4 linked regions of the Styela clava genome follow. The protein of the gene in region 1 binds, or shares a complex with, the protein of each later gene. Links are inferred from orthologs where the notes say so. Each region holds a gene or a part of one and is shown on either strand. Other genes may lie near its edges.

Evidence for each region.
Region 2: mediator of RNA polymerase II transcription subunit 4-like (region 1) and mediator of RNA polymerase II transcription subunit 7-like share a complex: the UniProt entries of both Caenorhabditis elegans proteins name them as parts of the mediator complex. The link is inferred for Styela clava from reciprocal best matches to the Caenorhabditis elegans genes mdt-4 and let-49.
Region 3: mediator of RNA polymerase II transcription subunit 4-like (region 1) and cyclin-C-like share a complex: the UniProt entries of both Caenorhabditis elegans proteins name them as parts of the mediator complex. The link is inferred for Styela clava from reciprocal best matches to the Caenorhabditis elegans genes mdt-4 and cic-1.
Region 4: mediator of RNA polymerase II transcription subunit 4-like (region 1) and mediator of RNA polymerase II transcription subunit 21-like share a complex: the UniProt entries of both Caenorhabditis elegans proteins name them as parts of the mediator complex. The link is inferred for Styela clava from reciprocal best matches to the Caenorhabditis elegans genes mdt-4 and mdt-21.

What each region holds. Positions count from the first base shown.
Region 1 is NC_135264.1:5,105,145-5,112,500, forward strand, and holds the start of mediator of RNA polymerase II transcription subunit 4-like, read left to right. Parts: upstream 1-4,341; 5' UTR 4,342-4,473; intron 4,474-5,167; 5' UTR 5,168-5,232; intron 5,233-5,714; 5' UTR 5,715-5,801; coding exon 5,802-6,614; 3' UTR 6,615-7,356. UniProt on the Caenorhabditis elegans protein: Component of the Mediator complex, a coactivator involved in the regulated transcription of nearly all RNA polymerase II-dependent genes.
Region 2 is NC_135263.1:12,517,377-12,525,278, reverse strand, and holds the start of mediator of RNA polymerase II transcription subunit 7-like, read left to right. Parts: upstream 1-4,896; 5' UTR 4,897-5,008; coding exon 5,009-5,103; intron 5,104-5,294; exon of another isoform or gene 5,295-5,446; coding exon 5,447-5,531; intron 5,532-5,902; coding exon 5,903-6,040; intron 6,041-6,598; coding exon 6,599-6,792; intron 6,793-6,931; coding exon 6,932-7,082; intron 7,083-7,238; coding exon 7,239-7,280; intron 7,281-7,498; coding exon 7,499-7,675; 3' UTR 7,676-7,902. Other genes in the region: galactose-1-phosphate uridylyltransferase-like, read right to left, coding at 1-829. UniProt on the Caenorhabditis elegans protein: Component of the Mediator complex, a coactivator involved in the regulated transcription of nearly all RNA polymerase II-dependent genes.
Region 3 is NC_135255.1:10,309,390-10,316,197, forward strand, and holds cyclin-C-like, read left to right. Parts: upstream 1-4,275; 5' UTR 4,276-4,306; coding exon 4,307-5,158; 3' UTR 5,159-6,304; downstream 6,305-6,808. Other genes in the region: lysosomal dipeptide transporter MFSD1-like, read left to right, coding at 2,369-3,889. UniProt on the Caenorhabditis elegans protein: Component of the Mediator complex, a coactivator involved in regulated gene transcription of nearly all RNA polymerase II-dependent genes.
Region 4 is NC_135250.1:5,389,920-5,397,023, reverse strand, and holds mediator of RNA polymerase II transcription subunit 21-like, read left to right. Parts: upstream 1-4,944; 5' UTR 4,945-4,971; coding exon 4,972-5,466; 3' UTR 5,467-6,583; downstream 6,584-7,104. Other genes in the region: uncharacterized protein LOC144428188, read left to right, coding at 3,052-3,651; kinetochore protein NDC80 homolog, read left to right, coding at 6,641-6,770. UniProt on the Caenorhabditis elegans protein: Component of the Mediator complex, a coactivator involved in the regulated transcription of nearly all RNA polymerase II-dependent genes.

The sequences.
Region 1 (7,356 bases):
ACTAATAGCAAAGCGGAGTGCGTTACTTGCTGATACGATACTTTCGTTTCTGAAGCGAATAAAGGCAAGATTAGCATAGTTGCACGTTGGCAAGACAAAATTGCATTGTCGTTACATCGTTCATTGTTACTCCTATATTTAAGTCTAGAGATTTAGTAGATATAATAATATGAAGTATATATATCAGGCGCGGGTGAAATATGGTTCTATCGAATGATGTGTCCTTCATTCAAGGTTTGGAAATATGGCCAACAATGGCGATTTCCACAAGGATATTGATATCTAATAATATACCCCAAAGATCTTCTTCCATAACCTTGCACAAAATTAGCTTCCCCTTTAGAAATTTTTGATTGCTCTCCTGGTTTCAATCGTTCAGTTATGCGAGAGAGGAAAGTCGATTATACGGCATAATCATATGGCGCACCACCATATGCTGGACCCTTCGCCGTAGTAGGGTGGTCAACGTAACCGCTGATCGGTTACTGCTTCCTCTATCATTATACTAAGGTTAGTTCGGATATTTATAATTTTTACTATCCGGAGAACAGATATATCCGTTTATTTTGTATATATTTTTACTTCACGGTTAACCGGATTACGGATAGTTACTGGTAATTGTTAGAGAATCAAGAGAGAATTTCACGAGATTTACATGGTGAATTGATCAAAAATCACGACACAGTTTTATCATGAATATTTACACAAACACTGTATGAGCATATATAAATGAAATTTTGAACATGAAGAAAAACACGCATTTTTCGATGAGGAGTAACCAGAAATAGCTAGTAAACAGCGCAGGCAAAGTCCACTGAATGTCGATAGCAATGTTCTAGACTAGAATCTATTCTAGATACTTAAAAAGGTGGGTATGGCAAATAATGAGGAAGGAAGAAAAGAAAGAAATTGGCATCTACTCTCCAGTGCCGGAAACAAACAAACTGTGGAAGCCAGGGTTTCAGAAGAGCGGGATATATTAATGTTTCTGCAATGCATTGACTATGAAGCACCCCATCAATCGTGGCGTCAAGTAAACGAGACCGTGGATCGCATAATATATGTCTGCGAAAAACACAGTGTACTAGCACCAGATAAAAAGCAATATCAAACTGTACCACCCTGCCGCGCCAGACAAAAACAAATTCCAAATGTAGGATAGAATCGAGGCCATCCACCACCGACAAGGCCAGATGATACATAGGCATAGCCTCCGTGGCGTCGATCGTGCAGTATTGGCGATGTGTCCAGTCCCGAACAAAAACACGACCCCCATCTGCGTCATTTCCTGGCAATATACCCGAATCCCAATGGCAAAAATAGCGACAGAAAACAATAGTTATATATCACCAAAACCGCCATCTTCAAGACTGCCCCATCTCCACACGCACAACTTCAAAGCTTTTCAACTGAATTCGTCTACAGCAGCGATTCCCAAAGTCGGCAAAAACACTTTGTGACAATATAAATGATGCTTTACATGCAGATAAGCAAATTCAAGAAGCCTACTATTGGCGACGAATTAACCCACCATCAGTAAAGGAATTGGACCTTCTGGAGTATGTGCACCAAGATGGCGCACAACCTGAACATAGTATGTGTGCCAGGTTTGGGTTCAGGTTAGAGATGTACCGATACCACTTTTGTCGCCGATACCGATCCGATACCAGCTAAAAAAGCCGATACCAATACGCCGATATTCGAAAACGACCGATATTGCCGATACTATGTAATTATTACCTCAATTGTGCGGGGCAGACGGTTTAAAACAATAGTCTTTAAGCATTGTTAATAGTGCGCATTATTTCGGATCAAAAAAGAGAAATATCACATATTAATAAGAAGTAGATGTTTGGGATCCAAATGCGCAAATTGATTCAGATGCATTGAGCACTGACGCTAGTAATCTCGGCTCTTTATTAGAAAACTAGTAGGATTTGGCTACTGTTGGTGGTAAAATAAATAAATGTTTAGCCTACTTATCGCATGAAACTGATACATTGAGTAACGTGCGTAGGATTTTGTGCCAATATAACGTCGTATTTTAAATTATACACATCGGAACATCCACTAATATTCGATTGATATAATTCTTCATAATTACCATGTAATATTAAAAATTTTAATATAAAAATTCGGCAGCGAAAATACTCAAATTGATTGACCCAGTTTGACTGATAAATTGCTTAAAACACGTCAGCGGGTGTGGGGGCGTACAATGGCTCAAAAATAATTTCAAGGTTAGTATTCTAACCTATTTTTTAAAACATTCTGAATCATATTGAGAAGCTAAATATATCGGAAATATTGGTCTAAACTTAGCCGATACCGATACACTACCGATACTGAGAAATTGGCCGATGTTGCCGATACCGATACATCGGCACATCTCTAGTTCAGGTTAGCGACATCTTGGTGCACATACTTCAGGAGCACCAAGAAATTTTCTGATACTGTTTTGCATGAAAAGGCGCCGTCTGTAGTTATTGGACACGTTTAGTGGACATAACAATCGTTTTGTTTTTATGTTGTTCTTGTTCTTGTTGTTGTTCGACACTTTTTGGACACCTAGTGGAAATATTAAAAAGCCGCTTTTCTCTTTGATCACTGGACCAATTGCTTTGAAATTTTTAGTGGTTAAAGATGAAATTTTTCTCCAGAAGGCTATTACTTTTATTTATTTCAAATATTTCTGATAGCTCTGTAAGATTTGTTTTTGTTTGCTATGACGTCATCGAACGTTCTGCGGACATCGGACGCCATTTTGTGCCCTACTGTACTGCTTCGCTTGGTGTGAATATATTTGTAGAATGTGATCTGACGGTACGGTAAACCGTACTGTACTGCGAACAGACGTGTCCATATATTTGGGCGTAGCTCTCTTGTTTCATTGAGCAATGATAAAGTACAGAAACGAGTTGATTTTTCAGTCATAGTCATGAAGGCAGTAAATAAAATAAACGCGTGCTAAACACTCGCTCACTTAAATAATTATGCAATGAAAGTGATGAATGCATTTGAGCGCTTACTAGCCTTACTTCACACTGAAGTAAGATATGGCTTTCCATGGATATCTATCTGCCATACACCAGCAAGACGGGTATCGCTGCTCGATGACCAGCATTTGATTTTCGCGGAACTTGGAATGCCATTACTACGTTTACTCCTATTCAATGTTCGAACCAAGTGTATATTAAGTTTGGTGAAAAAATAAACTACTGACTGACTGATTTCACACCCTTTTGATACTGTTGTTGAATTCCAGCAGTTTACTTTCATGGAGAATAAATCAATCTGATAAAGATGGATTGGTTCCAATAACACTGTCTGGTTCCAATAATAGGCTCGTCGTGTATCAGTGAAATATGCCTGGACGAACATTTTTCCAATTCTAGTTTAGTATTATTCACGGACGTGGGATTCTTGAAAAGGAACATCAAATTGCAAAAAGATTTTGAACTCAAACAAATGTTCAGTGTTCCATAATAATTGTTCAGAATTAAACCAAATTAAAATACCCTCACGTGCGGGATCATGTAAAAAAAAATCCTTTAACAGCTCATACCTGTGCCATGACCGCGCTTCTAGATTACAAGAGTAACCGCATTTGACATCGTTGAAGAAACATAAGACCGTTTCTGACTAAAATGAAGCCGGATATTGATAAGCTAGCTGGTGACGTTTTATTTTGCTCACCCATCTCATTAGGCTAATGATGAATGGAGAATAAATTCATTTATGCTTATCAGTCAAAGGTGAAGCGAATGCGCTCTACTTTTACATAAAAATCACATTTATTTTGTGATGTGATAGTGGAAGTACACTCCAGCATTTACGGATGGCGCTGGTGGTGTCGCTGCCTGAAGACCTCTTGAGGTCCCTCGCGACTCCTGTCACACAATTTAAGTTAGTTTCCACTTGTATTTGTGATATTTTTTCATATATCATACCATGTTTAAATTGTGTTGACGAATAAATGATGATTGATTGGATGGCAAAGGTATAAGCAAAGAAGTGTGAATAAAATTTGTTAATATATGCTTTGGGGAATGGCAGCTGCTACGTAACAAAAATATAAAAAATCATTAATGAGCATATGGATTATTTATGCTACTTTAATATCCGGTTATTATATTTGTTTAATTTTGTCTGTACATTGTTTCATGCACGACGAAATAAATACAGTATCTGAATCTGTTAACCGTCACAATGCTATCCGGATATCAGGTAGCAAAATACATTTGGGTTAACCGGTTTCGGTATCCGGACAATTCAACCCCACATCAAACATGGAAAACAAACGACTGGTTAACTAATCAGACTAATGGGCGGTATTGCTGTATTGTTACGATATTTTATAGGCTACTCTACGTGCTGACCTGTGTCTTTGTCATCAACGTACCGGGTACCGGTACTGACGTAACGAATATTGTACGGTACCGGTATTGAAGTTCACAAATACCGATACCTACGGTATGTCATTAAGGGGTCTGGTATAGTTTAGTACCACATCCACTTCTAGTTGGCCTGGCTCAACAATTTTTGCATATGTCAATCCTAACCCCCACCTGACTACGTCACCGAAAAATTACGTCATTCCGACGTCACAGTGGCGTAATAAGGCCCACCGAAGTATGCGGATGGTCGTCCAAAACGCGCAGACGATAACCCGAAATCGAGCAAGCTATTTCTCTCGTTTTCTCGTCGCAACGATCACGATAGGAGAGAGATCGCCGGCCTTAACAAGTTCTTATCGGCGGCGCAGATGCCATTTCGGGCGATGGTAATTATACTTTGGCAATCCCTATGACGTGATGGTGACGTCGTAGTGACGTAATTTTTGGATGGCATAATCAGGTGAGGGTTAGGAGTAACATATGCAAAAATCGTTATGCTACGCCCACCGGAAGTACCGGCACTTGTGGTACTAAACTATACTAGACCCTCATTAAGTTATATGAACGATTCTTTAACGTACTAATATAATGTCATTACCCTAAAACTTACAAAATCATTGGATACTGGTGTTCCTTATTAAAACATAGGTCCGCTTCCTTAAGAATCATGTTGCAAACAGTATTCAGGTATTTTTTTTATTTAAGTCAGTAAGTAGCCTACATTTAAATAACTAGGGTCTCTGGGTTTACAAAATTGAATTATTTTTTAGGTCAATTTTAGAAGAAATGAGCGCTAGACTACGGTATAGGTTCGCTATTGTTTTGGAATGAAAATGTAAGTAAGTGTAGCTCCTCTGCATTTTGTTTGTCCGTTTGTTGATGTTTTGTTTCGTTCAGAGTGGCCAAAATAAAATTGATTGATTGATAGCTCTATGCAGCTATGAAACAGAAAATAAAAGTTCTCCGCCTAAATAAATTGAGTTCATTGAATGTATTTTTTCCAACAACATTATGCATTATTATTTTATCACAATTTATCCTTCAGTTATTTTAAATTTGTATTAAGTCAACGGTGATACGATATATTATACTAATGTAAATAGAATCAGATTCCAATCAAAATTAAATTTTTTAAAAACTTACATCTGTAATCCTTCCTTTAATTAAGATAAACATAATTTATTCCTAAATTGTCAAACTTAAATTGTCAGGAATATAAGATCATATATTGGGTTGCGGTTATTTGCGATAAAGTTCCGTCTTTGTTGTAAACTATTATTACAGTATTATTAACAATAAGAAACTTCTTCATTGCAGGCATAATTTTAATTCAGGGTATTTCAATATCATAATATTGATATTCAAATTTATTCTTCAAAAGTTATTATCGAAAAAAGATTGGAAATGGAATTACAACGAGGAAGCATCAGCACTAAACAACAATTAATGGCTCTTGTTGAAGACATTGATCTTATTACTCGGCAATTGTTTGAAACTCTTTCCCAACAGTCATCAAGGCAATCTTCAACCAGTCAAACTTTCAATTCTCAAAATGATGAAGCTATCCCACAAAAAATGAACGTGAATCAGCTTACTGATCTTTTGCTTCAAAAAAACAAAGATTTAGAAGAGAAAATGGCAATGGCACGCGACCAACAACAACTTCATCGTGATATCAAATTATACAAAGCTGAAATCGCACAAAAAAATAAAGAAATTGAGGTTTTACAAAAACACCTAAAAGATGCGGAACATCTTTTATCCACTGCTCTATACCAAGCCAAAGAAAAACTCAAATCGATCAGAAGAGCAAGAAAAGGTGCTGTTCCTTCTGAAGATATCATTAAATATGCTCACAAAATAAGCGCTGCATGTGCCACGGCAGCTCCATTAAATTGGGCGCCAGGTGACCCAAGACGACCCTATCCACAGGACATCGAAATGAGATGTGGTTGGCTGGGACAGATTAACAATATGACAGATGCAAATTCAACGATTAAGCCACCGCCGCAGTTAGGAACGGAAGGACTTTCTGTACCAAATTTAGTTGGTATGTCGCGATCTAATGATATACAACAACCACAATGGGGCAACCAATCAGCATCTGGTATGGACGGAAAATTTGGATATGGTCAAAAAGGAGATGAAGAGGTTGAAATAATGTCCTCTGATTCATCATCAAGTTCATCTTCGGATTCTAGTTTCGGGAATGATTAAATTATAGTATTGTCAGAATATTAGTTTTTAATATTTAAGGAATACTCACTGCCTGTTTTCTTTTTTAATTTCTGTTATTTCTTGAACTCTTTAACGCTGAAAATTGTTCCAAATTATATTATGCTGGTTGGAAAATGGAAAAGTTTTCAAAATACCAACAAATGTGTTCATTTGATGCAAAATTGTCATAATAATCCAAAGTGTAAAGGTGTTATGCAAACTGGTGTTTGAGATTTGTATTTTCATTCACGTATTGGTATTGATATGAAAACCAGAGTCTAAAACATTTATAATAAGATGCAGAGAACGTTGTAACGATGTTGTTTACTGCATAGAATAGCTTTGATGGTTTATCGAATCATTCAAATTGACAAAAATCATGTTTGAGTAAATTTGTTTTCTTTGTTACAGTCATCATTATGACTAATTGGAGAAGAATTTCAGAATAGATAACTTTTAATACGTGGGAGTGTTGGCCTAGTGTTTAAAGCATTAGGCCTAACTATGATGGCATCACAGAATAAAATTTCAGGTTCAAACCAAAGGCCACCCCCTCGCGCAGGTTTTAATAAATTGGGTAGGCAATACCAAACCGGAAGGATCCAGATTTTTCTAGAATAAGTTACAGTAGCTCCTTTCATATCAGTAGAAATGAATTTTTACTTTTAAAAGCTGTTATCTGTTTAATTTCTATTTGATGAAATATTTAAAATTTCATAAAAAATGCTATCTGGGGAACAAC
Region 2 (7,902 bases), on another chromosome or scaffold:
AATATGGAAAAGAAGTTTCAAACAAATTATCATATTTTGTCAGTAGGGACTTCATTACTTCTGCTAGGGAAGACCGTTCCTCATCGGTTAGATCAGGTAACCGAAGCACATGTCTTTTTGGAATAAGCATCGCTTGATAGGGCCAAGTTGCCCAGTAGGGAACAATTGCCACCCAGTGCTCATTTTCTGAAATAATCCTCTCTTTGGACTCAGACTCACGCCTTGCATATTCAACCAGCATTTGATTTCCATGTTTACAATAGTAATTTTTCTGAGTTTTATCTTCAATTGCAGCTTCATTGGGTAGAAAGGAGCTCGCCCATATTTGGCAATGTGGATGAGGGTTGGAGCAACCCATGACTGATCCTTTGTTTTCGAAAACTTGCACCCAGGTATACTTTTCACCAAGCTCTTTTGATAAATCAACCCATTTATTGATGACCTCAATTACATCATTATTGCTCATTTCTGGCAAGGTAACATTTGAATGAGGGTGAAAGCACATTACTTTGCATTCACCAGATACAGGAGACATCTTAAACAAAGGGTCATTATTTTCTTCTGTTGAAAAAACTTCAGGTTGTAGAGCAGGAAAATCATTATCGAAAACATAAGTCCCTGAATACTTTGGATTTTGTTTACCATTCGATCTTATGTTGCCAGGACACAGTGGATTTTTAGGGTCGTATTCAGGAATTTCATCTAAAACTGGTTTTTCAACTTGTCCAGTCCATGGCCTCTTAAGACGATGTGGAGACACCAAAACCCATTCATCTTTCAGTGGATTATATCGAATATGTTGATGGTCATTAGGATTAAAAACAGACATAGCTCAAATATTTTTGTAATACATTGACTGCCATATACAAATTCAAAATTTGGTAAAACACATTTAGCTATACCCATTATAAGTACCGGTATAAGTTTATTTCGATTCACACTGCGACCTGTCTGTCAACTAGTCAAACGACCAATCATTGCAGAATTGAGAACTGAGAAGCATAACAATCAGATCAACGAGGATGCAGCAACTAATAAAGTCATTTTTGTGACATTGTGTACAACAAGTTATAGGTACGGTATGCTTTGGTTCACACCTAGCACATTGCTTTGCAGTTGTTCACCTCAATTAAATTATTGTTTTGCTTTAAATGTGTCTGTTGTAAACAGATCCATGATTTATGTTTTGGTGATTGGTTACACAATCAGGGTTGCCAGACCCCAGCCATCAAAAAAAGCCAAATCAAGACATAAAAAAAGCCAGAAAAAGCCAACAATTTTACTAAGTACCGTAGGCTACCCATGATTTGTCAGATTTTAAGCCCTTGGCAACGTACCGATGATGATATAGAGCCATTAGTTCATTCAGTGAGGCACACGAATAGAAAGTAAAGTTCCTATAGCCTAGCACTGTAGAAATTAAATATCGAGCGGACAGCATTATTTTACCATTCAATAAATACAATACAGGGTGCCGCATCAGAATATGATATACCTACATGTTTCTACTTAAACTTATGATATACCTTAAAAATTTCTCCCTATATCGTACTTTACTATTGAATATTTTTTACTTTTAAAATTTATAAACCATCAATTTTATTAAAAAATTATCTAACCCCCTGCCGCTCACAGGTGGACCACTGATTAGAGATGTACCGATGTATCGGATATCGGTATCGGCAATATCGGCCATGTATCGGTATCGGTTAGATTAAGGCCGATATTTCCGATATATTTAACTTTTTGATATGGTCCAAAATAGATTAGTTGGAATACTACTTTTCAATTTATTTTTTGTCTGGAGAGATTGTGAGCTATGAGCCATACATGTCCCCACCACCGTGAGAGAATATTCACGTGTTTTTAGCTATTTATCAGCCAAACTAGCTCAACTAATTTAGATATTTTCGCTGTCAAATTTTTATATTGACATTTTTAATAATACATAGTAATTATGAAGAAATATATCAACACCGCACATAACAAAAAGCAATCAGGCGCCCGGTTTTAAATCATACAGTGGAATTGGGGTCCTTATTAACGGCACATAGACCCTTGGCACAGGTATAAATTCTGACTGTTTGTCGTCAAGTACGAGTGTCATTTAGTCCGTCGACATCGATAAACTAAATTCCGACACAATTATCTCTCTACGCAAGTATTAATTTGAATTTTGTTTAATTACACAACTATTTTATAGATATATTGACATGACCGCCTATCCCTAGACTGTCTCAAAATATATGATTGCAATTGTAAAATATTATAAAATCTATTTCGTTGAAAGAGATCATGTTATTTTTACTAAAAAAACCTCCTCGACGGTTATAGGTAGGCCTTCTTTTTGTTGGTGCTGATTGATATTCTTTATTCATGTTGGCTTTGACTTGTTGCGTCGACGATTATGATTAGCCATGAAATACAATATTTGTAAAATGCTTTTAATTTGAGCGTAGGACGGCGGCACTAGAATATGTGGGTGATATTCGATATTCTTTTAAACACGAAAAACGATATTCGAAGGTCGCGATATTAACATTAAATTCAAATTTGACATCCCGGCTTATGAGTTTTCTAATTGAACACCGAGATTACTAGCGTTACTGTACAATGTATCTTAATCAGTTAAAGCAAACTCCAAACATTAATTTCATATTATGTGATATATCTTTTTTTTTCGATCTGAAATAATGTGTACTATGAACAACGCTCAAAGACCATTGTTTTAACCCGTCTGCCCTACACAGCACCCCTAATTAAGTAATAATTACATAGTATCGGAATATCGGCCTTCTTATAGTATCGGCGTATCGGCGTTTTTAGCTGGTATCGGCGACAAAAGTGGTAACGGTACATCTCTACCACTGATATCTTATTCAGTAATTTTAGCGTAGTTAATCACATCGTTATTGCAATTGCAGAATTAAACTAAAGCTCACATAAACCATATCAGGCATAATGAAAATTAAGTTATATAACTATTTTTTGGAAACAGAACGAAAACTATAAAAACGAGGCAATGTTTACAACCCTGCTTGAACATCTGTCTGAGCAGCTGCAGAAACTGCAATTATTTCTTATTGGGTATGGTTAAGAGTTAATGTAACAAACAAGGAAATCGATGCTCCAGGAAATCCTAATGTTAAGTAGCTAAGTACAAGTAATAGGCTATTGTTCAGTTGTTACACACTAAATATTGTATTTCATATGATTCTAATAATAGACACTAGAATAGACTTAAAAAACGCCAAAAAGCCAAACGGATATTCTGACGCTATACGGGTTTCAAAAAAGCCAAAAATGGCAAATTTGGCGTTAAAAAAGCGAATATGGCAACCTTTTTTTTTTTTTTTGCTAATCTTCTCTGTATCGTTCCAATTTTTTCATATGTACACTCGAAAGTAGTACCCTGTACACAACGTTATGCGCCCTCAGCCGATAAATGTTCCCGTTTTTTAGTTTTTTTTTTCGTTATTTATGCGCGTGTTATATAGGTTATATGTGGGAGAGAGATTTGTTATCACAAACAATATCAACACTATAATACATTTGAAGCAACACAAAATAAAATTTAACAATAAACAACTGGTTGATCATTATTTGTGAGGGTCAATATGCAAGACCAGTTAGGTCACCAAGGCTCCTGGGGGCTGGCCCTTGCTGTATAATGTATACGGACCTTTCCCCGATCTTTGACCCCCGAGAAATTCTATCTAAACTTCACCATTGCAATAATTTTCGGGGTTATTTTAAGAGTGCTTTTGCGAGTTGGCGCCTGTAAAATGGGGTATGTGTTTCAAACCATCATTTTGATTCAACGCATACAACAATCTGTTTTTTAAAAGTACCGGTAAAGAATTTTAGCCTAGTCTATCCACTGCTATTTCTACACTAATTTTTTATTACTGCAATTAAACTAAAACTCCTAGAAAGACAGAATGATCATTGAATTATCTGATTTATATTTAAGTTTCTGAAACACTACTGAAAACTAAAGAATAAATTTCTTTTTTTTTTTTTTTTTTTTAAACGCTCACAAATGTGTTAAATGTGATACAGTAATAATCATAGAAATAATGGGAAATAAAATTTTTACAATCATTATTATCTCAAATTGTAATCCATATTATCCGACGTAGTTTCCATTTTTCAGTATTCCAATGTTCAATAATCCATGTATAATCCGTAATATCAATTCAGTGATATCAAGATGTTTTCAAGTTAATAATACATTAGTTAAGCATTATTTGTTATACATAAAAATAGAAAAAAAAATATTAGCAACTATACATTTACTCAAAATATAATCACAGACAGTTGGTTAAAAATTCTAATTCCTTTATGAAATTTGGTAATTTTCGAACTTTTTCTATATTTCTCCGACATGTTATTGAAGTTTGTATCTGTTTTATGACTGTTTGAACGTTAGGTATCTTTTTTTGAAATATAACAGCATTTCTTTCTAACCAGATCTTATATCTTGTTATTGATATAAGTAATACTATAATGTTTTCATGAAAATCTGAAAAAAATACACTGTTCATTTGGGAAAAATCTAATAAAATGCAGGTCAAATAGTCTTCTCTTAAATTACTAATTTTCCTAATAACAGAAAAAATATAATCATATATATGTTGAGTGAATTCACATCTCAAAAATAAATGTGATATAAATTCTGGTTCTTTGCCACAGAGGGCACACAAATCATTTCCAGAAATCCACTTTATTCTTGCATGGGTTTTTAAAGGTAAAATTTCCCACATAAGAATAAATTTCGAAAACGCGAAAATGAGGGAATGTTTACGACCACGCTTGAAAACTTGTCTGAGTGAGAAAAGTGTCCGAGCGGATGCGAAACGGGAGCATTGCACGTCACTTTTTGCATCTTGCTAATTGGCCAATGGCCAATGCCACGAAGTAAACAAGAAAGTCGATGCTCGGGGAAAGTCCATGAGGAATCAATAAGACATAGCATCAGCAATGAAATACGGATCAAAATATATGAATGGGCATTTACTTATTTCAGTATTTATTGGCGCTCACCATATTCCTATTTCTGCGCGTTTTGAATCTTATCAGTGGTTTCGCCAGCGATTTTCTGTGAGTTGTTATATTTTGTGTTTGTTTTTCTGGGAATTACAAAATGATCTTATTCTTATCATTATAAAAACTATGGATTAACCACTAGTGTCTACTGTCTATTATGTGACACGGCCACTGGCATGACTTCACTACCACGCCACGATAAGGTATTACCTAATGCCATGCCTTTAAATGCTATGCTAACTATGCTAATGAATTTTGGCTTCAAGACGTTCGAATGTTGTTCTATACCTAAATATTTACGGCCTACAGGTCTAGCGTTACGGTCTTTCTCATGCGCATGGTGTACAATAAAAACGGAACTGTAACCTGGTACCGGTATAATTCGCCTGCTATTCAGGAATACAATGGCTGCGGCTCAGCAGACTGTCGGTGGATCAAGTGATGTCCAAGTCCAAAGTTCATTTCCTTTGCCACCCAAGATGGTAAGATACGGTAAAGTTTTCATTAATAAGTAAAATAAAATCATGTTATATTGCGCAAAGTTCACACTGTATTATAAAAATTTTATTATGTTTTTTTTCATCAAAATAGACCGTTCTCCAGTTCTCATTGAGAATATTTTAGCCTGTTTTGTATATAGCTATAAGTCTATGCATCCCAAACAAATAACTGGCCAACTAAACATATACCCGACATGGACTGGTGCGGTACCGGTAACCGGACGAGAGGCTGTGGTTTACCATATGATTGAGCCAACTTTCCTCTCTGAGGATGTATTTTATTTTTTGAATTCTCCTATTCCTATCTTGTTTAGTTTTGAAATTGCAAATAATTCCTCATGCATAAATTTCAGTTCATAAGCAAGTATACGGATGAGGCTGTTCAGAGGGATATTGCTCCTAAGCCTCCAGCTCTGCCTGATGGTTCTTACATGATGTTTGGACAACAATGTCATCAAGATGACCTGATCATCAGACCTTTGGAAATGCAGGTGCTAATTTTTATTATTCGAAAAGCTAGTTCAATACCTGAATACGGGAGTAGCATAATTAATATTCATACGATTATCATGGTGTTATCTATATTAAACATGCGACAACATTTGAAACCTCTAGTTCTTATGGTTGGGGCATGCTTTTTCTTCAGGTCTAATATCTCGATGCTCCATCTCAAAAAACTGCCTGGAAATAAAGGTAGTTCTTATATTTATATCATATAGCCTATATTTTATTTTCACATTAGTAACTTATTTTCTTTTTTTTTGCGTGTCATCAACGGAAAAAATGATAATCCATATGAGCCATTTTCATACAAAAAATAATTGATAATTTCATATGATAAATTATTTAGAAAAATTGCTCATTATTCTTGAAATTTGAAAGTGCATTGGTTGTCCACAGTATTGGAGAAACACCTGTTTAAGTTATATTGCTGGCTTACAATATTACAACTCTCAGGGTTAAATGATATTTCTGCACAAACTTTGCCTCTACACATTTTAATGACTATCTGAACAAGATATGGAATAACATTATAGTTATGTTTTCAGGGACTTCAACGGCTCCATCCACCTGTATATGACAGAAGAAAGGAATTGAAGAAACTCACTGTTTCTATACTCTGCAATTTTTTAGATTTGTTGGATGTTCTTGTTAGTGCTACAGAATCTGAAGCACGCGATAAGAAGATAGAAGATTTGAACATGCTTTTTATACACATACATCACCTAATAAATGAATTTCGGTACTACATATATTGTTTTTGTTATTGCATCTGCATCACAAACTTATTGGTTATTCATAGTAGTGATAAGACTAGTAATGAGAAACTGTACAAATTTGACTACAGTAACATGACTAAGTTATTTCTTTTTTGATTACAGTCCTCACCAAGCTCGCGAAACTCTTAAAGTTATGATGGAAATGCAACAAGCACAAATGCTAGACGTTGGCGAAAGGTTATGGAAACATATTGAAAAAGCTGGTGATATATTGTCAGAGTCTAGTACTCAACTTGCGACAATGCAAGCAGAGGTATGTGGTGTTTCATATAATGCCGCATGCCACGACTTGTCTTTTTTTCATGCGCCCATTTGACCATTTCTCAAAAACTTCAATGAATGGAGTGTTGCATTTTGCTCAAGGTCAACAATTTCCCATATACGGTTAACAGTTTTTTATTTCATTCAGAATCAGTCTGCAGTTGAAGCCATTGAGCTAATGCGAAACCAGGTAAGGAAATATTTCATATTGATTATTTTCTATTCTATTTCTCAGTTCACTATTCTGCCATAATTATCGTATTTCAAAGTTTCTGAGTTTTTAATAATTGTATTTTAATAAATACAAACTTTTGTGATTTCATACATTATGATGCTATTTGAGTTTTGAACTTGTCTAGATACTCAAGCTCCCAGTTCGCGTCCTTATTTACCTTAATTTTTTTTCAGGAACCTATGAATGTTGATTCCATGCTTACTGATTTATCTAGTACTGATTTATCAACATCAATATCTCAGAATGCCCAGGGTAAAAACAGTATGGACACAGAAACATCTGATATTGTGAAGGACATATTCAAAAAGGATAAAATTTTAAGCGGCTTTATCAATGACATGAATGACTGATAGCAAGATATTTACCTGGCACTAGCAATATGACAGCCCTACCCAGTTTGCAGGGTTGCTATAAGAAATGATTTGTCTGTTGGGTTTCATCGTGCGATTTCTGGAATTATGTACTCTCAATTGTGAGACTGTTAAGAAGCTATCACCTATTTGTTGCTAGCCAGACTAGAACCTGCAGCTACTTGATCATTCATGGAATTGAAATACTACGTACACTCAGATAATCT
Region 3 (6,808 bases), on another chromosome or scaffold:
TTTGGATTGTTTGGTTTTCAGGACTGGTACATATAGTCAAGTTGCAAAATTGCGTATGTCCCCTAGTCATAGACACACTTTTGCCTAAGTCACAGTGCGCCATTATGACGTCACATGACTGCGTCATACAAATTAACTTAAATCCGGCTACGATCAAAAAGTTGAACTATGGCAAATTAATGGCATAGCAATATCATTAGGAAGTTTTTTTTACGTTTTTCTCAAAACAGCTAAAAATGACTTACGCAATTCGGTTGTTAGCGTGACGATATATAATTTGTTTTTACATATAAAATTAAATGCAATAGAAACATGATTAAACGTGGGGGTCGGGGCGCCAATTTTATATTTTGCCCCGGGCGCAAAATATGCTGGCTACGCCTCTGTGCTATTGGCATTGTAAATACTTCATTTCAATACAAAAATAATTTCCTTGTTGTAAGCGAAAAAGTCATGAATGAAAGGGTTAATTGTGGTCCATTTTAGCTTACCAGGCTTATCCATGGAATGGGAAACGTCCCATGGGATGAGACAACACACTTTGTATTTCTCATGAGACACTCATTTTTATATAAGATTATTGGAAGAATAGACACATGTTTCTACCGCTAAAAGATGATGCGAAAATTGTTCTGGCCGTACCAGTGTCATCTGCGGCAGTAGAGCGTTTATTTATGGGCCGACCAGTTTGTTTTTGCGCAATCTACGACAACGGATTTACCTTCTCTTCATATGTTCATATTCATGTTCATATTCATATGTATTGGGGGGAATGGGATTAAATTAAAAAATGATAAACAAAAACATGGAAACAAAAAAATATCTATTTATATATTTATAATAAAATGATTTGATACCAAAATATTAATACGAAAATTCCGTTTGGCATTGGAATTTATTTGGCACAAAAAAAAAAAAAAAAGGATTTACCTTCTCTTGTTATCACTCTGATTACATCAGATTTGCGTGTAAAATGAAAATATAGGAAATGGTTCGGAATCAGAACTCATCCGAATTAACAGAATTAGTAACAGTCGATGAACAGGAAATTAATGATTTGCAGTAGAACGAGAGTGTCATTCTGAATTGTCGTAGTTCAGTAGTTATCAGACACGGAGTGGACCTATGGATCGTTTTGTTATTATGTTGTTGTTCTTATTGTTGCTCTTCTTCTTGGCATTAGAATTTTTCTTCCTATCGTTATGAAAAAATCACCTTTCTCTTTACTTACTGGACCAAATGCATTTCATCCAAAATTTCGCTGTATTATTTTTTACCTTACTGCCTTATGCTGTTATGGGAACACGGTTTTAAAAACTGAATTAATTAGTACCGGTACCGGTAGTCTATATGGAGAAGGGGTGGGCAACATTTTTTAGTATAAAAGCCGCATGCAGCGAGTCAGAAATATGTGAGAGCCGCATAATTTTTGAAATTATTGATATTAGTGATCATTAAATCATTTTGCATTGTAACTGTTACATTGATACTAATTTGGATTTGGGCTATTGACTGCGACAACATCAGCAATATTTTTTTTCACAAAATACAGCCCCAGAGTATCGGTGTTTAGCATTTTAAATTTAAAATAAAAAACATGGAAACAAAGGACTGTGTTTTTAAAATAAAATGATTCGATTCCAAAATATCAATATGAAAATTCCCTTTGCCATTGGAATTTATTTGGCACAAAAAAAAAAGATACTACAGTACTAACCTAGGCCCTACTATTTCCGTGTAAACTCAGAAGAACACAAATTTTGGGATTGACATCACTGTATTAGGTCACACTGTCATAGGTTCGTCGCTTATAGCATTCAAACAATCTTTGGCAAAGCATCATTCTTTGCTATCTTAGATGTACTAGGCCCTACTTTATTATTGAAATACACCGGTGTGGCTCGCCGTGCCAAGCGTTAGGAATACGCTCTATGATCCACCGCATCTGATTACTCTGCGTGGGTTTGCAGGTTCGAATCCCATGCGAGTGAATCGCTGAACTCCTCGCTGTCGTAGGGTAGATCACGTAACCGCTGGTCTGTTACGGCTTCCCCCACCATCAAGTCCATGCTACCGGAAAAAAATAACTAATCCCATACCCAACCGACATGAAATTGTAAACGGACGAGAGGCAGTGGTTCGCCATATGGTTAAGTCATCTTATCAACTTTCCTCTCCCCCAGGAGAAATATGTAAATCCTATCCTATATCTGGATATGCATACAAATGCTGAAAGATTTCCAAAGCGATAGTCATAAGCTATAACAGTATAAAGCTCTACATCAATATATTAAGGTATTTTTACTTTTTAGATTAAATAATACAAAACTTTCTGAAATTTAAGACCTAACCTACCGGTATTATCATTATGGAAACTGATCCACTTGTTCGAAGACGTTCATCTGCTGCACCAGTTAAAGTAAAACCATGTGAAGTTGGAAATCCTCGTAGTTTGAGCCATCGTCTTATCATTATTGCTTTGATGTGTTTTCTAAGTTTTGGAAGTTATTTCTGCTACGACAATCCTGCTGCATTACATGATGAAATTGTGAATGATTTGGATGTAAGTGAAAGCACTTTTATGTCGCTTTATGCTTGGTATTCATGGCCAAATGTTGTCCTCTGTTTTTTTGGAGGATTTCTCCTAGATAGGGTTTTTGGTGTTCGCCTTGGCAGCCTCATTTTTAGCATGCTGGTTGTTATTGGGCAATTAATTTTTGCTACTGGAGCACTGGTACACAAAATATGGTTGATGGACCTAGGACGTTTCATATTTGGTATTGGTGGAGAATCATTAGCTGTCGCCCAAAATACATATGCTGTTCTCTGGTTTAAAGGAAAGGAATTAAACTTAGTGTTTGGTTTACAACTCAGCATGGCTCGGATTGGAAGCACCGTGAATATGAACCTTATGGTACCAATTTATGATATGGTTAATGAAAAAATGAAGGACCACAATAAAACCTTGGGTGTTTCTCTATTTATTGCTGCTCTGACTTGTTTGTTCTCGTTGACATGTGCAATTAGTTTGGCGTATTTAGACAAACGTGCTGAAAAAATATTGAATCGTAAAAAGAATGAAGCTGAAGAAGCTGTTAAACTAACGGATGTTAAAGACTTTTCAATTCAGTTATGGCTTGTATTTGCCATCTGTGTGGCTTATTATGTAGCAGTATTTCCTTTTATAGGTTTAGGAAAAACGTTTTTTCAAGAAAAGTTTGGATTTTCTTCATCGAGCGCAAGCGCAGTGAATAGTATTGTATATATCATGTCCGCACCTTGTTCACCGGTCCTAGGCTTTATTATTGATCGGGTTGGTCGTAATTTGTTCTGGATTTTATTTGCTGTTGTTTTAACTCTTGCAAGTCATGGTTTATTAGCATTTACCTTTATCAATCCATGGTTTGCCATGACGTTGATGGGATTTGCATATTCTGTGTTAGCATGTGCACTGTGGCCACTTGTAGCATTTTTAGTACCTGAGCATCAACTTGCCACAGCCTATGGCTTTATGCAATCAATACAAAACTTGGGTTTGGCTGTCATATCGCTTGCCGCTGGTAGTATTCTCGACAGTAAAGGATATTTCATGTTAGAGATATTTTTTTGTATGTGTATCAGTGTTGCTTTAATATCTGCTTTGCTTTTGTACATCATTGATTTTGGTCGTGAAAGTGGCCTGAATGCTTCTGCCAAAGAACAAAATGCAAAACGTGCTCTCGAAGAAGCAGCAGAAGAAATTGCAAATGCTTCTGTTGATATGCAACCAAGAATTAAACCAATGACTGCATTTGGTTTGAGAAATCGTTATTATTCAAGAATCGGTGCAATTATTCCTGAACACTTAGTTGCTCACACTAACGTGTCACATCACGGACATGATGAATAGAATTTTTTATTATATTTTGATTTTCTTCCATTTTTGATGAATTTTAATGCAATTATGTGTATCGTAATATTCCAATGTGATTACTGCATCATATCATGACACCTGTTATATTTTGCAGAACATTTTTTAATATAACAGTGCCCATATGTCTCATTGCTACAGATCTCCATCTCTGAAATAACAACCTCGAATTCCAAAATTTTTGTTTATGATTATTCATCTGTAATGCTTACATAGTTATACAAAATATCTCCTAAACTTTGTACTATTAGTTATACCGTACTTTTTCATGCATCAATTTACAAACCAATCTTGCCATTTGTTATGTAGCATTTTTCTGTGCTTCTATCATTGTGTCTTGTAAAAATTTATCATTTTTTTTATAGATTACCATCTAGCTCCTATTTTAAATCTGATATGGCTGGAAACTTCTGGCAGAGTTCTCATTGCAATCAATGGATACTTACGCCGCAAGATCTCACTCGAGAACGAGCAGCTGATTTCAAAGTTTTAACGGAAGTTGAATATAACAAAGTGATGATTTTTTATGCCAATGTAATCCAAGCAATTGGCGAACAATTAAAGCTACGCCAGCAAGTTATTGCTACGGCAACTGTTTATTTCAAAAGGTTTTATTGCAGACATCCATTACGAAGCTGTGACCCACTTCTTTTAGCTCCAACTTGCATTTTTCTTGCTGCGAAGGTGGAAGAGAGTGGCGTGGTATCAAATTCACGGCTTATTGCTGCAGTCGGAAGTGTCATCAAAAATAAATTTGGCCATGCGTTTCAAATGGATTATAACTACAGAATAACCAGTGTTTGGGAATGTGAATTTTTTCTCCTGGAATTAATGGATTGTTGTTTAATTGTGTATCACCCATATCGTCCATTATTACAATATGTTTCAGACATTGGACACGCTGATTTATTGTTACCAGTTGCTTGGCGTATTGTAAACGACACATATCGTACGGATGTCATATTGTTATATCCACCTTTTCAAATTGCTCTCGCATGCCTGCATATTGCATGTGTTATACAGAGTCAGTTAGAGGTTGCAAGACAATGGTTTGCAGATTTAAATGTTGATATGGAAAAAATTATTGAAATTACAAAAATTATATTACAACTTTATGATTTGTGGAAAAACTATAACGAAAAAGAAGAAATTTCTTCCATTTTAGAAAAAGTTCCTAAAGCTTGTGTCACACCAAGTGATTATAACAGAGATGATCGCATGGCTATAAAGGGTAAAGGAAAAGGGTAACCTTTGATTAAACTAAATTAAAGCTCGGTATCCGTTTTTCCATCAATAAGAGAGGTTCAAATTTTATATACGTTGCAAAGTATGGGTATATCTCAACTTCAAACAAGGCCATGTATCTGAAACAAATAGATGGACACAAGGGAGGGTCAAAGTTTATCTACGTTGCAAAGTATAGGCATGGCTCAACTTCAAATCAAAGACATGTATCTGAAACAAATAACTGGCCAACTAATATCATACCCGAGTAACCCGACATAGACTGTTAACCGAACGAGAGCCCTCTTATCTAATTTCCTCTCTCCCGGAATAAATATAAAATCCTATCCCTAAATAATTGATTGATAAGTGAATTAGTAAATTGATGTATTTAAATTTAGCCAAGTGCATGAAAAGGAAGATTTCAAGTAGTCATTGATGTATTCAATGATGATGACTCTCAGTTTCATGGTAGTCTTTTTTCAAACCACATGCTATGTGATTGTGTCATTTTGGCTGTTGCTATTGCAATTCCCTATTTTAAGTCCTTACTTTTGGGATACAGATCCAAATGCTTAATTAATTAAATTAATCGGGTTCCTCATTTTGTGCAAATAGCATGCGTTAAACCAGTCAAAATGATTGTTTTGCTATGTGAACAAAAACAAACTATTTGCAGGTTGTGAATTTATAATTGCATATTATCTGTACAGTTTGTGCTACTCTGTTTATGCTTTCTACTTAGTGTTGACTAAACAATACATTTTTATGATTACTAGATCACAATAACTTGCCAAATATGTAAGGTGCACACTTTATTTTGATAATGCTAAATTACTTATATCCTGAAATTTTTGAAATAGTGAACTATTCGGTATTGGCCATCCCTGATTTGAAGCACTCTTGCTGATTTTTATTTCCTTATCGTATTGTCTATCACCCTATGAAATTTGAGGGCTACAGGAAAATTACACCTAGTATTCCAAAATAGTAATATGATGGGTATCACTTACATTATAATATTAATTTAAAATTGTGACATCATATCTGAATTTTAAATTTGAATAAATCTAGATGCAATTTACAATTTCAAGCAGTACTTGATATTTCTAGTAGTACCAGTATTTTTCAATGTACATACTATCATGAAATGCTTTTGTATTGTTTAGATCAAGTAGATAGAATCAGGTCAAATAGTCTTAGTTATTTATTCATGTTGAATGTAGGCCAATAGCTAGATATCTACCTTGCTGTTTTTATAAAGTAAGTTTTGTAGTTTAATCTATTGATAATGCTAATCAATCAAGTATTGACACAATTACCAACCAGGGCATTGACTATAAGTAAAAACTATAGTAAATGTCCAGGCATGATTAGGTTCTAGATGGAAAAACAAGTGATAATACCATAAATGTAATAAAATGTGTTCATTATGTATGGTATTATTTAACTTACGGTATGTGAATAATAATATTACAATAGGATGTTGTAATCAGAGATGGCTATTTTTCAATATCGAACTTGATATTTTATCCAAAATTTTTAACAAATCTGTCTTCTCATCTGAATATATTATTTACTCGAATATGGTCCAGAAAATTCATGGCATTCCCTTTTTGTTAATATAACAAATGATACTTTTTCCAACACTTTTGTGAAACTAAAGTGAATTAT
Region 4 (7,104 bases), on another chromosome or scaffold:
GGTACCGTAACGCAGCGCGGTGACACTGAACTAACTCGTAGCTGTCAAAAGCTTGAAAATCCATACAAATATGAGAAATAAAAAGATGAAACTTGGCAGGTGGGGAGAGTTGTGTTTCTTTTAACCATATTTGAAAGTTTCGCGTTTCTACATTTGAAGGAGGGGGAATAGGGGGTGTGCATTTCCGATACGTCGATATTATCTTTGTCAACCAATTTACGGCCACCGTGTTTTCGTATGTTTGATTGCTGTGATGTGGTGCTTTGTTTATAATTTAACGAGTTTTGTTCGAAATAACCGTGTTCTTGAAATATATGACGGTCAGAAATGCAATTAGAAGCCCAATGCTTCAACCCTTTGTCGTAGAAAGTTAATACGAGGTTTAGCGTGTAGAATAAAGGCCGCCAATGCACCCACGGTGAAAAAATTAACGGGTTAGATATATTGGTTTTTGTTTTATAGCGGTTTGAATGAAATTGTCCGCAGACTGGCTACACCACCCTAGGCCTGGTGAGTTGTCCGTGTAGTCGAATTGTCCATCAGCCCTAAACGGCTATGACAGTCACTGTACCAAAAATTGTACCCCGATTCGGCTGGTGTTAAGTTGACGCATGTTATTTAGTAACGTTTTTATCTGAAATGTTTGACTGTGGTTCGGTACCTGATCCGATAATACGGTACATAATTGACTCATATCACGAGATATTTCAACTGATGTTTCAATTGTCACAGGACCTAAAATATCTATTACAGTCCCTGTACCGTCACGGTACCCCGATACAGGTACTGGTAAGTCACCGCCGGTATGTTAGTCGTTGGTCACCGCATATGATTTTTGGGGAATTGTTCTGCGTGTCCATATATTTGAGCATTGCTCTCTTGTTATCCTTTTTTCCCTTTGCTCGTAGCGTAAATTAGTAATATTATCTGTTGTCTGGTTTAGCGTTTCCCTTTCGGTCATTTTCGCATCACGTATTCGTCGTGTTGCAAGAGCCGCAGATATTTGTCCGTATTGTGGACTGTTTACTTATCTGTTTTTATATATATATATATATTGTAATTGTATTAGCCACCCGGATCGGAAAACGTTCGGTAACAAAAAAAAAAAAAAAAAAAAATTTGCCTTTTGTTGTTGATATATGCTTTGACATATGTTAATCGATTGTGTTTTATTCATTAAAGAAACCACTGTTCTCTGCCAAGTGTATAAAGAAGAAGCTGATCTATGCATGTGTCTTGTTTGTGGACAAAGGGCTGAGAGTGGCGCGTTCGATACGTTTTTATTGTGTCTCGTCTGTATAGATTCCGGGCTATCAAAAGACGTCACACCTTGTGGCGATTGCGGTGATGGCATATCAGCTGAGAAGCGAGCGTAAGTCTTTTTCGCTAAGAGTTGTTTATGGGGAACGGCGTGCTACGGTACCTGGTTGCGAAAATACATACAGTAGTGATTCGGATAGCTGGTGTTACTACAGCTGTGAGTCGAATCATCTTGTAATTTTAATTTTAATTGACACTGACACAAGAAAGGAACTGGTGAAGATAGGTCAGTTCCGGTACCGTAACACATGCTTACACATACCTACCGTAACTGTCTCGTAAAAGCGGGGCTTACAGGTCCACTCACTGTGATGATTAATGTCTTTTAAATGTTGGGGTTTTTTTGGAATCGGTAAACTTTGCCGTGCTGGATAAGTCACTGCATTGTCACCATGTAGCTGTTTCACTGTTCAGCTTTGTTCAGGTTACGCTATGAATTTCCGTGAATTGATGAAACATTTTGTTCTGTATTACGTGTCCATATATTTGAGCATAGCACTCTTGTTTCGTAGAAGCATAGAAGCATTCAAGATATACTCGAGGTGTCGCAACGGAACAGTTTGGCGGGATATACTCGATACATGCCAGATTTTAATCACGAATTCGCTAATCATTATAGGCCGAGATAAATTGAATTTCACCACATCTGAATAATGTCTTTTTTTAAATTTCTTCAAATCATTATGGTTATTTTTTCCCTTCATATTTTCGTTTTATAAAAAAGGATCAACTATTTTCAAACATGTATATGCTTTACGACACCTTTGAGAAAAATCTGGTAACTTTATGTTATTGTTTTGAAAAATAGTTTTACCATTGTTTTCGGTTTTAATTAAAACGAGTTTCGCGATTCACTTGGAAATGTGTAGCTTATTTTGTAGATTGTTTGTTAAAGGATTTTCACAGAAAATTCAATTCAATCAAATCAGTAAACTGCGAAACTGACACAATACGGTAATACCGATATTTGGTAATGATAGCCTAGTCAGGTATCGGTACCGTACCCTACTGTACCGTACGGTACCGTACCCATTGAAGCTTATTCCAGTATTCAGTTATTCACATTGCAGTACCGGTACGGTCTGACGGTATTCTGGTATTGCTGTCAGGCTGTAGTTTAGACATACCGTAACTGCATAACACTGTAACATTTACAGATTTATTAGACCAATTACCGTACCGGTACGGTATGTCTTGTGTTCATTTTGAATAAATTCAGAAATTGATTACCGTATCCAGTATAACTGTATAAAGTTCTTAAACAGAAATGAGTCCAAATGACTGTATGAATGGTGCTTTATCGCTTCAATGCTGCAATCTGAATGACTAGATTTCAAAATTCTTATTTCTGAAATTTACAATGTTTGTCCGCAATCCAGCAATCTGAATCTCTAATCACATTTTGAACTTGATTCTACCACTACAGCACTACCGATAGCATACCGTAGCCAATAGGATAGTACCGGTACGGTACCGTACGGTACTGTAGTCTGTAGTCAGGTAGTAGGGTACCGTAATTTTTGTATTTCCTATGAAACTGCAGAAGGTCTTCTGATTTTGATAAAATCGAAATACATTTTTGATGGCTATTATTGATTCATTTCTGCTCCTGTACTGCAAATTGTAATATTTATCTTATGTTTTAGTTAGCAATATTCATTTTACTAACATTTTTCGCTCTTCAAAAACCTGGTGTTGATAAAAGTGTCATAAATTTTGTTTATTTCTGTGATGGCCCCTGGAACCAGGCCCGCTTCACACTCAAATTTTTGTCCTGAATTTCCATCAGAAGGCAACATGTTTGAGGCCAATTTTGATGACGTTGCTGCGGAGAGCGACCCATGGTCAGGTGCCACAGATCCAGACTCTGGTGCTCAAGATACAGATCAAGGATTTGAAGATTCGTTTATATCTAATGATCAGAATGATTCAGAATTTCCAACAAATCAGCAATCTGTGTCATATGAGTCAAACAAGGATTATTTAAATTATTTAGAATCGAAACTTCAACGAATGGAAACAAAACGTAAAAATACTGATAAAGTTAACGCACGAGATGTTCTCAAATCACTGAAAGATGTAAAAGAAAAACAAATGCAATGGAGTTTTCAACAACAAGGGGTTTCGTCGTCAGAAGGTGATACTTTCGACAGTGACAGTGGCCACAGCAGTGGAAGTGGTAACTCATTGACAAACGAACTTCGAAGAAAAATGTTTCCAGAGCAGCACGCACAAAATGACACCGAACTTTTGCATTTACTAGATCATGATGTTATACAAAAATTATTTCTTAATGTTCAAGATGATTCTGCAAGTTCAAGCAAAACTTGAATATATTTTTATCCATTTGAATCGAAATAATTAAGTTCAAATGAAATTTGTCGCAGTAGAAGTCTTTGTTTACTCAAATCATTAAGTTTGGTGCATATAAATCAAGTGTATGTCGAATCAATTTCCATGTACCATATTTGGCGCTCTAGAAGTGTGTGTACCAATATGGAGGTACAGTAGCTACACATACTACGGGAGTAACTTTTATTTTTTAAATTTCATTTTCAAAATTATGGGACGTGTATTATGCATTGTTGTAGGAAAATACAAAAAATAAACAATTCTGTTGTGAATGATATGCCATATTTGAAACTACCGTAAGTAATAATGACCCAGAGTAGAAATTTGAAATGTCTATAATTGTTTTATCATTACTCCACTTTAATTTGTTTGTTTCCAGCAATATATCGTAGCTGGTTTGTCATCGATAAATGGTGCATTATGTTCTTGTCCATTCTATAAATAGCGATTAGGTCATGCTATAATTTTTATTTCTTTTATGTTATATTTTTGTGATCGTGATTACAGTCAGGATTCATGAATTTAGAGAAGTCTAAGCTATAAATACTCATTCCTGTCATGCTGTATTGAAATTTTCGACAATTTTGAAATTATGCTTTTGTAGCGGCCAATGTTCCCTCTAATTTTTTGTAGTATGTGTGCGCAGACATTTTGGTGTGTGCACACTTTTTTGGAAATGAATAATATTTGTGCAAAAAACAATGAAGAAATTTTGGCGTTCTAACCGGTAATAAGTGGGCCAACAACAAACTTTCTCAACCTGCCAACCAAGCACATTGTTACATTACATCGAAATACGTCTGTGCGCAGTAAATCTATGCGTGTGCGCAGCCTCTGAAAGCTATGTGCGCGCGCACACGCGCACACCTTAGAGGGAACACTGGTAGCGGCTGATGAAATAACATAATTTTAATATGCATGTCACTTTATTACCCAGCCCTACATGTGCTAATTGACACAAGTTCATGTAGAAGAAGTATTTAAATTTGTATAATTTTGTTGCTCTTTACAAGCGGCAACTTATTTTTGGTTTTGATTACTCAACCAAGATGAACCAGTATAGTTGTGTATATTACTCCCTTAGCATCTATTAATTCACAGAATATATTAAGCTGTGACTGTTGCTCTAAGTAATTGTGTGTTTCAGGTGCTCAGTCAATTGTGATATGTTATATTACTATGCCTATACTACTTTATTATAAATGTATCAGAAATGTATTATATTATAGATTGTAAGCTCTAAATAAGTAATATTTGAAAAATAGAATATAATAATATTGGAACATTTTGCTCATCAGTATGTCTGATCGTCTCACACAACTTCAAGATGCCGTCAATCAGATGGCGGAATATTTCTGCAACAGCGTTGGAATCCTACAACAGAATGCCCCACCTGGATCATTTGCTGGATTAGAAAAAACTGGAAATAAGGAGCCTGCTATTTCAACTGATGAAAACGTCAAACTTTTTGCTACATTAATAACAAGAACTGCTAAAGATATAAACGTTTTAGTAGACTCGTTACCAAGCGAAGAAAGTACGCCTGAATTACAGGCTGCTCATTTAACTCGTTTAGAGCAAGAAAACCAGGCTGCTGCTGCAAATCTTGAAAACCTGGTGCAGAGAGGAGAACTTGAACTTAACAGAATTCAAACTGCCTTAGCGGAAATTGCCGAAGCGCAACTAGCAGCACGTAAACTTGAAGCCATCCTTGTATGTGAGAGCGAACCTGCTGTTTCTTTTCCTGTTACTGATAATTCAATTGCAGATTTTTCAGATATTCCGCAAAGATGATATTTTTTTTTGCAATGGTTAGCGATTTATGTTTAAAAAACAAGCAGGGTGCAATGGTTTTTGAGCAACTTCGGTGTTCAATGAAACATTTGGACGATCCAGAAGTGTGTCTACCAATATGGAGGTAACTGATTTTGTTTGCCTACTTTACACAAAGTTGTGTAAAGGGACTGAAACCTATGGGCAGGAGGTATATTCCTTTGGCTAACACAGACAGTCCCCGAACACACAATAGAACTAATATGAGGGAAATCGGAATAAAATTATGGCCCAACCCTAACGTGGTACATATACTACAGGCTACAGCAGTACCAACTTTTGTGTCTCAACAATCTCAATCATACACGAGCAGAAGTTCAAGTGTTGATATAATTAAATAATTTTAGTTCATTCTCATTTTGAAATCTAAAAAAAGGGTAATCAAAGCCTTGTTTTCCTGACCTTTTCAGTATTTCTAAATTCAAGCTCATTGAAAATACTTCTATGTGTTCCTCATTGATGACGAGCTGATTTAGTACCGGTATATATTCACTATTCCATAATAAAAATAAAGTTTCAGAATCCAGAATCTTTTTGACTTTCCTTTGCAACATGTTATAAAAAGATCCATGCCAAGATCTAGTTTTGTAAAATGGAATTAGTGTAATTCAGTTTATTTGAAAACATTATTAATTGAGCCTCCATACTCCTTGTGCTTGTTCATATCTCAGGCAATAAACAGGTGACAATTGTTTTGTACCTATAAATAGAAAATTATTCATATGATGTTCTTTATCAGTTTTGTATTTATGCACGATGGCGTAGTGGTGAAATCATTAGACTTAATACCTGTGTTGTCATCGCAGGTTACTAACCTCGGGTTCAAATTCCATGCCTATCATCTCACCCAGGGAGAATGGATGCGAATGTCAAACTGGAAAGATTTCAGTTCTTCCAGAAATGTAGCTCCTCGCGTATCGTTAAATTTCAACTGTGCCTTGTTCTGAACGAAAGGGATGAAGAAGCGTATAAACAATTGCATGCATACGTTAGTTTTGAGACCATTGAATATAGTTTTTCACAACTGCCTTAAAAGGCATTAATATATCATCTTGATATTTTTGTTATCTTGTTTTAGTTATGTTATCAAATCATTTATTTAGTTATGGTATTAGACTATTAGTACTATTCCACAATGAGTCGTAAAACAAAATCATCATTTGGTCGTGATTCTCTACAATCTCGCAGTTCAATAACTGGTGCAAGTGCATCAAAACTACCAAGAAGCACACCGTTACCTCATTCCTCAAGGAAGGTTCTTCCACGTAAGATATTTTGACATTATTGGACAGTGGACACAAATTGGACCTTTAGATCGTTTTGCAATGTCGTCTTGGTGTTTTTTTTTGTTTGCGGGGGAAATACTTTATTCCACTTCTATTGGGCCAATCAATTCCGAGTTTTCAGTACTCAAAAGACGATGAAGCTGTTAGGACGCTATTATTTTCATCATTTTGCTAGATATTTGTTGTTGTTTTTTTTTTTTGTTGTTGGAAAAAATATGCTTTTCTGGCAACTAATGAACTAATCGATGTTGAATTTTTTGAAATTCATCACTTTCAGTCGTGCTTGTCAGCAATTCTTTTTAGCATACGCTGT